Arabidopsis thaliana: one gene and its partners. The protein of the gene in region 1 interacts with the protein of each later gene in a pairwise test. Each region holds a gene or a part of one and is shown in the gene's direction. Other genes may lie near its edges.

Evidence for each region.
Region 2: the proteins of AT5G12010 (region 1) and GAMMA CA2 interact in a two-hybrid assay, tested with the Arabidopsis thaliana proteins (one large-scale study listed by BioGRID).
Region 3: the proteins of AT5G12010 (region 1) and AT4G25660 interact in a two-hybrid assay, tested with the Arabidopsis thaliana proteins (one large-scale study listed by BioGRID).

The regions. Positions count from the first base shown.
Region 1 is NC_003076.8:3,878,054-3,881,809, reverse strand, and holds the start of AT5G12010 (nuclease), read left to right. Parts: upstream 1-2,152; 5' UTR 2,153-2,326; coding exon 2,327-3,756.
Region 2 is NC_003070.9:17,321,523-17,325,278, reverse strand, and holds the start of GAMMA CA2 (gamma carbonic anhydrase 2), read left to right. Parts: upstream 1-1,794; 5' UTR 1,795-1,931; coding exon 1,932-2,046; intron 2,047-2,194; coding exon 2,195-2,338; intron 2,339-2,598; coding exon 2,599-2,724; intron 2,725-2,826; coding exon 2,827-2,978; intron 2,979-3,595; coding exon 3,596-3,756. Other genes in the region: AT1G47265 (uncharacterized protein), read right to left, coding at 481-711. UniProt on the Arabidopsis thaliana protein: Enzyme involved in the catabolism of H(2)CO(3) but that does not mediates the reversible hydration of carbon dioxide. Mediates complex I assembly in mitochondria and respiration. Binds HCO(3)-.
Region 3 is NC_003075.7:13,081,663-13,085,418, forward strand, and holds the start of AT4G25660 (PPPDE putative thiol peptidase family protein), read left to right. Parts: upstream 1-1,744; 5' UTR 1,745-2,014; coding exon 2,015-2,149; intron 2,150-2,520; coding exon 2,521-2,782; intron 2,783-2,860; coding exon 2,861-2,928; intron 2,929-3,024; coding exon 3,025-3,327; 3' UTR 3,328-3,756. Other genes in the region: ACD1-like protein, read right to left, coding at 1-161, 244-583, 665-852, 976-1,491.

The DNA.
Region 1 (3,756 bases):
GATAAGGAAACGTTAATTTATTTTGCTGTCATTATGATTTTACATTCAAATACACCACGTTCTAAATGTTTATATCAAGTTTTGCTATGAACTTATTGATTAATGATTCATCAAAAGCAAGAAATGTCTTCGAGGAATCAGTCTTTCTGCCCTATGTACTCTCTTTGTCGGCTACTTTATGGACTATTATCTTTTTGCTAAATCATTCAAACTTGCTAACCAGTTGTTGTTGGTTTCTTTTGCTAGAATATTGGTGTGACTCTGCTAGATGACTTGTACAGCTGTGCTGCTTCTCGTGAATTTCTGATGGCCTGAAAGCTCTTCTCTTTCATTTCACATATTTTTATCCAAAGTACTTCAAAAATCAAATGATAGTTTAGGGATATATTTTCTACTAAATATGTATCACTAAACTAAATACTTGCAAAGTTTGATTTCAACTGCACTGGATTCTATTCTACTTTAATTTTTATATCACTTATTCATCTTTTAGTGGTTAGATTTTTTTTCTCTCCATTTTAGTGGTTAGATATGATGGTTTAATGCGTGAATTAGATTCATCATCTCTACAAAGTTATTAATCTGTTTATCATCAGTATGATATGAACTTTGCCTTCTCATTTAAAATATTTTCCAACAAACTTGAGGCCTTTAAAAAGGCAACATAGACCATTTCTTCTTCGTTAACCAACTATTCTCTGGTCACCCTATAGTTTTTGTATTGCGGTGCTTGGATTAATGTGAGAAAGATTAGTCTATATTTATACCTTTAATTTTCTGATTAAACAAGAAAAAACAACATGAATCTAGGCGAGGATGCATGAAAGAGGCCACTAATGTAAGTTATAAAAAATGTTAGCAGATCCCCTAATGCCTTCTTTATTTGGCAACTCAAGTAAACACAAAAAGAAAAGGAAGAAAAAAGGAAACGAAGCATGGGACCAAAAGTCTCCATCGGCCACCTAACGTTCCACACCGCCAAATACATTAGACTAACAAACAATGTCCGATACTTCCTTGACGTGTTCACACTTCTTTCTTTCAGTTTATAGGTACAATCATTTTGAGATCTTATTTTATAATAATATTATTGGGTTCGTATATAAGATATGTGTGTGAACACCCACTCTCCACAAGTGTATAACAAACAACGTTTACAATTATCTGTTGACAATGATAAAATAACATAAAAGAGTGGTGGAAATGGAACTCATAGTTTCTCAAACCGGTTAACTAAGAAAGAGAATCATACGTGTATTGTTCTAGGTCTTGTTCATCTCTCAATATCAAGTTATCAAAATGGAGAATTTGCCAACAAAAGTATCACAAACTATTTGAATATAAAAACAACTTATTTAGTAGTATTACATAAATATCTACGAAAATATTTACATAGCTTTTAGCTTAGGAATTGGTCTTGAGTTTCGCCTCGAAATCTTCCGATTTTATTGAAATTTACCACTTCATTCACATGTTATGTTTATTCCATCGATAAATAGCTCAAATCTATTATATATTTAGTCTAGTTCTTTTTTGTTATCTAATCTTTTTAGTTGTTATTCTGATATTCACTTTAAACATTTTGCTCGCTATCGTTTGGATTTTGTATAAAAATGAGAAAGTTAATAGTGCGTCCAAAACATATCTTAGCAACTTCGCATTCGAATCAAAATCACCATTCTGAGATAAGAAGAAATGTTTCTAAGAAAAGTACAACATAGTACTAAAACTGATAAGTTTGTACTTATAAATAGACATGCTTAATATAGTAACAAGATTGTTTTGAACAAAAGCAGCAAGCAAATTAAGAATTTGGTTTGATCATGATCACGATTCTAAGAATTAGATTCAAAATTAGTTTGTATCGCCTATATAACGTTTTAGATTCCAATTTATTCAATCAGAGTATACTGATAATTATTCGATATGTAGTCAATATTTTCCGACATATATATCCTTTAATTATATTAAAAAAACGTTTTCACATAGTTTGCTTCCAAATATGAATCTATTACAAGAATCAAACTGGTTCTGCTTTTTCTGTACCGCTGTCTAAATATTTGTCCAAAAAAATACTAAAGAATGTAACAAGAATAAAAATGAGTAATAAATAACAAGAATTTATTAAAAAGGAAAAAAGAGTACAATAGCTCTCTAGTAAAGTCAACTTGCGTGTTCACACTCGTCCCACAAGTTTCGTCTTCTCATCCCCAAAAAAAATTTCTTCAGATTTCTTATTTATGAACCCTCAAAAAAATTAATCTTCTTCTACACTCCAAAAATTCAAGACCTTTCAGAGACAAAAACGTGAAACAACACAACTTCGATGAAAGCCGCCGTTTTCCGTAACGAAGACGGAGACGAGGAGGAGGAAGAAGAAGAAGAAGAAGAAGTCTGTAATGTTTTCGACGGCGGCGAGGTAGAGTCTAAGAGAAACAACGAAACCAAAAACCTCAAAGGATTTTTCACTTCTTTGCTTTTGATGGAGGAGCACGAGAAGCAAGACCAGGAAGCTCGTAACGCTGCTTCTCGCCGTGAAATGTCTGATTTTCAATCTAATTACCGGAAAAGAGCTAGAACTATGTCCGATTACTACTCCGATCTCAACGATTACTACGCTGATGCTGAGGAAAGTGGAGATATCAATCTGAAGAAGTCACGCGTCTCACGCGCCGTCGCTTCCGTTGCTGTTGCTGCTGCTTCGGAGATTGAGGCGGAGAGCAGTGAGATAACCGGATCCGGATCGGTTCGTGGTACCGGTTCGGGTCAGCAAAGACGGTTATGGGTTAAAGATCGGAGCAGAGCTTGGTGGGAAGAGTGTAGCCGATTGGATTATCCAGAAGAAGATTTCAAAAAAGCGTTTCGAATGTCTAAATCAACGTTTGAGTTAATCTGCGATGAGCTTAATTCAGCGGTTGCTAAAGAAGACACCGCGTTAAGAAACGCGATTCCAGTGCGTCAGCGAGTCGCGGTTTGTATATGGAGATTAGCCACCGGTGAGCCACTTCGTCTTGTCTCCAAGAAGTTTGGTTTAGGAATCTCAACTTGTCACAAGCTTGTTCTTGAGGTATGTAAAGCTATTAAGGACGTTTTAATGCCTAAGTATCTTCAATGGCCAGATGATGAATCTCTTAGAAACATTAGAGAACGTTTCGAATCGGTTTCGGGTATTCCAAACGTTGTTGGCTCTATGTATACTACTCACATTCCGATTATAGCTCCTAAGATTAGTGTAGCCTCTTATTTCAATAAGAGGCATACTGAGAGGAACCAGAAGACGTCGTATTCGATTACAATTCAAGCCGTTGTGAACCCGAAAGGTGTTTTTACTGACTTGTGCATCGGATGGCCCGGGTCAATGCCGGATGATAAGGTGTTAGAGAAGTCATTGTTGTATCAAAGAGCTAACAATGGAGGTTTGTTGAAGGGGATGTGGGTTGCTGGTGGACCGGGTCATCCGTTGTTGGACTGGGTTTTGGTTCCGTATACGCAACAGAACTTGACGTGGACGCAGCATGCGTTTAATGAGAAGATGAGCGAAGTGCAGGGAGTGGCTAAGGAAGCGTTTGGGAGGTTGAAAGGGCGGTGGGCGTGTCTGCAGAAACGGACTGAAGTGAAGCTGCAGGATTTGCCTACCGTTTTGGGTGCTTGTTGTGTGCTTCACAACATATGTGAAATGAGAGAGGAGAAGATGGAGCCAGAGCTGATGGTTGAAGTGATTGATGATGAGGTTTTGCCTGAAAACGTATTGAGATC
Region 2 (3,756 bases), on another chromosome or scaffold:
AACAGCATTACAAGAATATTAGTCTTCAAGCAAATAACCTTACTCAAAGAACTCAAGCTTATGTTGATACCGGATCGCGCACGACAAATCCATCTTACGCATCCAAGTTCCATCACTTTACAGAGCAAAGAATGTACATCTTGCATAAGAAAGGTGGTTAAATCTTGATATTAATTTGTGATTAAATTTATGAATTAATGGTCATGGTTTAAGGAGTAAACTTGCCATTCAAGTTTACGAATTAATTATGAGAGTTATTTTATGAGCTAGATATGTACCTAATGGCCAAATAAAGATACATAGGAGGAAGGAAAAGACTATAAAGAGAGGTGGAGACCCTAAGAAAAGAGACTCCATCTTTTTTTTTGTAAAATGGTTTTCAATGTTATAAATAAGGTCCAATGGACTATTTCCGGATTTAGGCTCATACATTTTCCCTTAGACTCAATCCACTTACATATAACCAGACTAAACCATCTATTACAAAACCGATCTAAACCGAAAGTTGAAAATCCTAATCTCATATCGTAAAACACGATCTGAGCCGCCGTCCAAGAATTGCAGAATCTCACCGGAACAGAAACCCTTTGGGGAGCCTAGACGAGATTCGTCGAACGGAGATGGTAATTCAGGATCCGTTGTCCTCCTGCCACCGTAGAGCAGTTTTGAGGAGGAAGAGGCGATCCGGGTTGCCATAGTCATGAATCTCATAGCTCAGTCGAGAGAGTTGACGGCAGTAGTGAGTAGATCTCAAGACCATCGACGGTGGTAAAGCCTCACCGAAGCGGAGTCGACCTCCCCCATCAAGCGGCGACCCAATGAAACCTCCAGAATCTTTAGACTTCCGACCTAACCGCCGTCAGCCCTTGTTCTTCACTGTGAAGTCTCATCCTTCCTCTCCGTGAAGCCACACCACCGATATAGCTCTTACCGACAGTGTCTCGCATAATCTTCTCCCCTCCACCAGGGCCAACTCAATATATTCTCTGTCACTGTACAAATTTTCAAATTTAGCCCTTTTATACTAAATATTTTGAGTTTGGCCCTTACATTTAGTTAAAATTTTATTATGGCCCTCAGATTTAGTCAAAATTATCTTTTTGACCTCAAATTTGATAAATTTTTTTATTTTACCCTTTAATTTTGATCAAATAATTTTTGGATCCTGTGCAATTGCTCCTCTTGCACTCCCCTAATGCCGCATTTGCCCTCCACTGCTCCCTTGATTTTGAATAGATTGAATTGCCGAGAAGATGTAGCGGATCACGGTTGAAGCACCATGTCCCAATGGGTTTCTTCGTCGCTGGAGTCAACGAAAAAACTTATTGACGGAACAAGAGATTGTGATTATAAGAAGAAAAAAATTTGAGAGAGAAATCGCCCACGCGTAAATATCACTTGCCCGACTTCTTTCTAGTATAACTCCAAGAAAAACACCCAAGAAACTCCATCTTCTACATTCTTGACCCCATTTTAGATACAAACAATGTTTTTTCCAATCCTTATACTAAAAACTATTTCTTTGCTTTATGCAATACTTCCAATATCCAATGCACAATATAAGCTAATATCTCTATTTTTATCTCTTTATTTTCTTTGCTAAATTATATTAATTATTTTACTCATTTTTGTGTTTGTCTCCTGAAAGCTTTGTTCCATCTCCTTACATTGCAAAACGAATCTATCCGGATTTTGTATTCACAATCTCTGTAAGTCCAACCAATAAATTTCGGTTTGGTTTAGCTTACCAGTTACCACTCCATACTCTAAAAATTTAGAGGTCAACAAAATAAACGAACTCACTCGAGTTAAAAAAAAAAATCCTCCCATCAATACGCCTCCATAAACCTCTCTCTATCTGGTGGAGCGACACCAAAAACAACAAAGCCTTCTCATTTTCACACTTTGGGTAATCGGAGAATCACAAAAAAATGGGAACCCTAGGACGAGCAATTTACACTGTGGGTAACTGGATTCGTGGAACTGGTCAAGCTCTTGATCGCGTTGGTTCTCTTCTTCAAGGAAGTCACCGTATCGAGGAACATCGTAAGCTTCCAGATCCTTCCACTTAATACTCTCTATTGAAACCCTAGATCCAATTCGTTATCTCTAATTTGTGTCTTCACCTTTGATTGGAGAAATTTGTGGCTTAGATTGAAAAAATTTGATTCGAGAAATTTGTGTTTGTTTTCAGTGTCGAGGCATCGGACGTTGATGAATGTGTTTGATAAATCACCATTGGTGGATAAAGATGTGTTTGTGGCTCCGAGTGCTTCTGTTATTGGTGATGTTCAGATCGGAAAAGGCTCGTCGATTTGGTATGGCTGTGTTCTTCGAGGTGAGGCTTTATTACTTCTAGAAAGTCTTAATGGCCTTTGGTTCGATAGAAGTACCAAATTTTGCAGCAGTATATTGTGCAAAGTAGTCATAGTTTAGTTTTAGGAAATGAAGTTCTCTTTACCTTCTAATAATCTTGTATCGCTGTTATACGTTACTGTCCTGATCATTGGACATAGATTTATTGTACTGTCGATAAAATGTGTCATGAAGTAGCTGTGAAACTTATTGTATGTTAATCTGGGTTTCTAACTTGTGCAGGTGATGTGAATAACATCAGTGTTGGATCTGGGACGAATATCCAAGATAATACGCTTGTACATGTTGCAAAGACCAACATAAGTGGCAAGGTTCTACCTACTCTGATTGGGGACAATGTAACAGTAGGTAAACCTTAAAAAGCGATTTATCAGTTTTGAAGTATCTGTTTTTATGTTGTGTTACACGATTGTTAGTTAAAGGTTTTGTTTGTAAAATGAAACGGAGCAGGTCACAGTGCTGTCATTCATGGGTGTACTGTTGAGGATGATGCTTTTGTTGGTATGGGAGCAACACTACTTGATGGTGTGGTGGTTGAGAAACATGCCATGGTTGCTGCTGGTTCTCTTGTGAAACAGAACACGCGAATCCCTTCTGGAGAGGTTTCTTTCTTTCCACTTTATCTTTTCTGGTTTACTGCTTACGGAGTTTGTGATAAGACTGGAACTGGAAACTGCTTTATTTCTCACTAAACTGAACGAGAAAATCCAAAGTATCAAGAACCAAAAATAGAACTCTAGCTAGGTTTACTTATCACGGACCCTGAAGCTCTACCAAGCCTAATAACGAACTGCTAATTAACCAAGTAATAGCAGCTGTAGTCTGCTGCATTTAGTCCTACGCTGACCTGTAGCTAAGGCTTGACCAGCTGAACTTCTTCAAGTAGATCCACTTTTGCTTTGCTTACAATTTAGTTGATACAGAATTAGTTAATGAAATGATATGCCTGTAAATTGTATTATATTTTGATCAAAAAGAAGAGTAAATAGTATTTATATATCGTCTAAATCTGAGAACCACCTTTGTTTCCGTTGCAATTCTACTTGTATATGAAACAAGGGTGAGTTGGGAGTAACAGAGGGTTCTTGTGTTTCCAATGTTTTATGAGGAATTAGACGGATTTCTTATATCGCTATGCTTTTGAACTACTTTCTTCAACCGTCAACCTGAGAATATATTTACAAGGACATATCTATAAGTTATCAGTTTCATGTGGCAGGTGTGGGGAGGAAATCCAGCAAAGTTCATGAGAAAGTTAACAGATGAAGAGATAGTATACATCTCACAGTCAGCAAAGAATTACATCAATCTCGCACAGATTCACGCCTCAGAGAATTCAAAGTCATTTGAGCAGATCGAGGTTGAGAGAGCGCTTAGGAA
Region 3 (3,756 bases), on another chromosome or scaffold:
TCTAGAATCGTATTTTGACCAATGTGAAACACCCATCTAGGGACAATCTTATCAATAAATACACCAAAATTCCTCGGGAACGTCCATATCAGCCTACTACGACCTGGACTGACCGGAATACATATAAAGATCAAAGACAATCTCCGCTTTGACAATGCCGCCTGTATACAGAACCATACTGTTAGGTAACTAAAACATGTGACTCTAAACAAGAAAATCTTGATACAAGTTAAAATCTATGACCTTGTCAGAAGCAGCTGGTGCGGGATACTCATGTTCCTGCTCTGGTAGAGGGTCTGTGGAAGAGCGATACACACATGGTGCAATAAAATTAGAATAACCCCATTCTTGTTTTGAAAAGAACCCTTTGTTGTCTAGTTTTTTAACGTTGATTTCGAGTGGTTTCCCCCCTTCTCTGTCAATCTTCTCTGCAAGAAGAATCTGAAGGTTGGTAAAAGGATTAAAACAACTATTTGAAATACAAATTATGTATTTGCCTTTTGGTTTAGGAAACCGCATCAGTCCATAATGTGCATAAGGAACATGAGCCGGGTCCATGAGGTTTTCCACCAAGACATCGTACCTGAAAGATTTCAGATTTACACAAAAACATCAACGGAGAATTACCACACATAGTTGAAATGATGTAAAAGCCAATAGATACCCGTAAGGAATATCACGATTCCCCATCAACTTAGTGAATGATGGGTCTTCTAACTCTGGAATGTAAGGAGGCTTGTTGGTTTCAATAATGTTTTTGTACTTTGGATCACTGTTTGGCCAAAACCAAATGATCTCATGCTGCACAGTACTCGGGTAAACAGCTACACAAGCTTGCTTGAAAGTGTGGACCTGATTTGCATTACCAAAATAATCATTGATACAACCAAAGACTTTGACTTTATGTTCCATATAAACCATATGCTAAACCAATCTAAAACAAACAAATCATCATCAATAGCTATAAAAATTTACCGGAGGACCATCAGGAGGAGCTTGAGGAATGAGTTTACAGTCACCGGAACCATTAAAGCACCATCCATGATAAACACATTGCAACCTCCCCCATTGATCAATCCTTCCATCAGACAAAGGAGCAAGACGATGAGGACACGTGTCATCCATCACTTTCCATTGCTTCTCGTTCCTATCCCACCAAACAACCAAATCAATCCCCATAACTTTCTTCCCATGAGGAACCTTCTTGTCAAGATCGCAAATTGGCATCACTGGGTACCAATTAGCGTACCAATCGAACTTATCCGACCCGGGTTCGAATAGGGCTTCAGGTTCCGGTGGAGAATTCGTTGACGTAGCGGCTGATGATGATGGTGGTGATGATACTGCGGTTGTGAATCGACTTGATTTGCGGGTGATAAGGGAATTAGGAGAAATGGGTAGGCTTGGATTGGAGAAGGAACATCTGAAACGAGGTTTCGTATTGAGAATTCGGAGCGATGGAAGAGCGCATGCAGCAAGAGCAGCTTCCATGGCGTTGTGTGGTGGTAACAACCGGAGAGACGAAGCAAATGAAAGTCTTCTTTACCAATCTCTTTTGACAAATTTATAATCCAACGGTTCAAATTAAAATATCTCAGGATGTATTTAAACCAATTGATAATCATTTTTCTGGTTTAATGAAAACTAAACCGGTTAATTGAAAGAGAAAGTGTCGGTTGAGTGTGAAACCGGCGTCGGCAAAGTGAGGGTATAAGGGTCCTTTCCAGACACCACAGCATCAGTTTCTTCAATCTCCCACGTCTGAGATTGAAAAGTTTGGGAGAAGATAAACAAACTCAAAATACCTCAGCTTTAGATCAAAATCTAAAAACAAGAGTTTCGTGCAGTGGTTTCTTAGAGATCTAGTAGATTAGAGAATTTGGATTTGTTGAAGAAAAGTGGATTTGGTACGATTCTATAGGTTTCCTTCTTCTCTGAAGCTACTATAGAGAGAATCTGCGAGCTCAATTTCGTAGTAAATTAGGGTTCGTGTTTCTTGGTAAAGATAGAATCAATGGCGGAGGTTGTTCTGCACATATACGATGTGACGAACAGTGGATCAGAGAAGACTAACAACACCATAGTTCAGATCAATAGGTTCTTCAAAGACGGGATCGGTCTTGGCGGTATATTCCACAGCGCTATTCAGGTACTACTACTCCACTGCCTCGATCTTCTTCGTCTTTAGTCTATCAATCTACATCTGCACATGTATCGATGATGTCTCTCTTTTGAGTTGTTGTTTGTGTGTCTGTATGTGGAAATGAAGAATTTGAAGGAATGATATTTTTGGTTTTATCTGTGAGGCTCTAATCTAATGGCATATGGTCGTAAAGGTCTCTGTAAGATCTTGAGCTTAAGCTCCCTTTTCGTCTGTACTGAGGATCTCAATACTCGGTTCTTCAAGTAATTTTAGAAACGTGTTATGGGATTATGGGTGCGATGAACTTTAGGTTTACATGTTGCTATTGATTCGCAGGGAAGAGTGATTGAATAGAATCTTGTATGAACTTTGTGCAGGTATATGGAAACGATGAATGGTCTTATGGGTATTGTGAACAAGGAACTGGTGTGTTCAGCTGTCCTAGTGGCAAGAATCCAATGTACACATATCGTGAGAAAATTGTTCTTGGGAAGACAGATTGTACAATCTTCATGGTAAATCAGATCTTGCGTGAGCTCAGCAGGGAATGGCCAGGACACACTTATGATTTGCTGTCCAAAAATTGCAATCACTTCTGCGATGTATTATGTGACCGCCTTGGTGTGCCAAAGATCCCAGGTAAAACCATTATTGTGGGAATCAGGGTTTGTGTGTGTGTTTATGTTATGTGACGGCTTGGGTTCTGTCTCTTAACAGGTTGGGTGAATCGTTTTGCTCATGCTGGCGACACAGCCTTGGAAGTAGCAGGAAACACAGCAATGCGGGTGGGTTCTCTCTCATTTTGCTCTGCCCACGCTGTTTCTTTTTTTACACCTGAATGCATGTGGATGTTAAGTCCTTGTGAACTGTGACTTTTGCAGGTAAAGCAAGCCAAAACTGAACTTGTTTCAGCCAGTAAAGTGGCTTATCGCTTCCTTTCGAATGTTACCTCAAACATAACCAATGGTTCAAATGGCTCCAGTGGCTCTCCACAGCGGCCAGGAACTCTCAACAATTCAGACAATGGGAGCTTTAGATTGCAAGGTAGTTGGTTGAAAGGTATACTTAACACTGCCAAACCCTCCACAAGTACAGAGATAGGGAACAAAGAGGAAGATACAAATCATACAATCACCAATCAGAAAAAGCAGAACCGTGACTCTGATGTTCTACTATTTCAGTAGCAACTGTACTGATCCACCCCAATGTATTCACTTACTGTATATCCACCTATCCAAAATTTATTCGTTTGTATCCATTACTTTGTATCACGATTCGAACACACCTCTCTTTTTTTTTCCCCTTTTCACAGCAGAACGTGTGATTTTGTTAAGAAGATATTTTCAACACGTTACTGGCAAAGACCAAGCAAGTCTTAGCATATGCATTGCACACCTATTAGAGGGTTTGTTAAAAGAATGTGATATAAGATAAGCAACAATGCAGTATGAAGAGACTTCAACATGTATAATAGATACAACTCAAAATGCGTCTTTAATATTACAGCGAACGAAAACAGAGTATAAGGTCTAACGTCAAGAGAAAAAAACAGAGCATTGACACCAAAGCAAGCAGAAGGCAAATGTTTATTTTAAAAACCGAATGAGGACGAG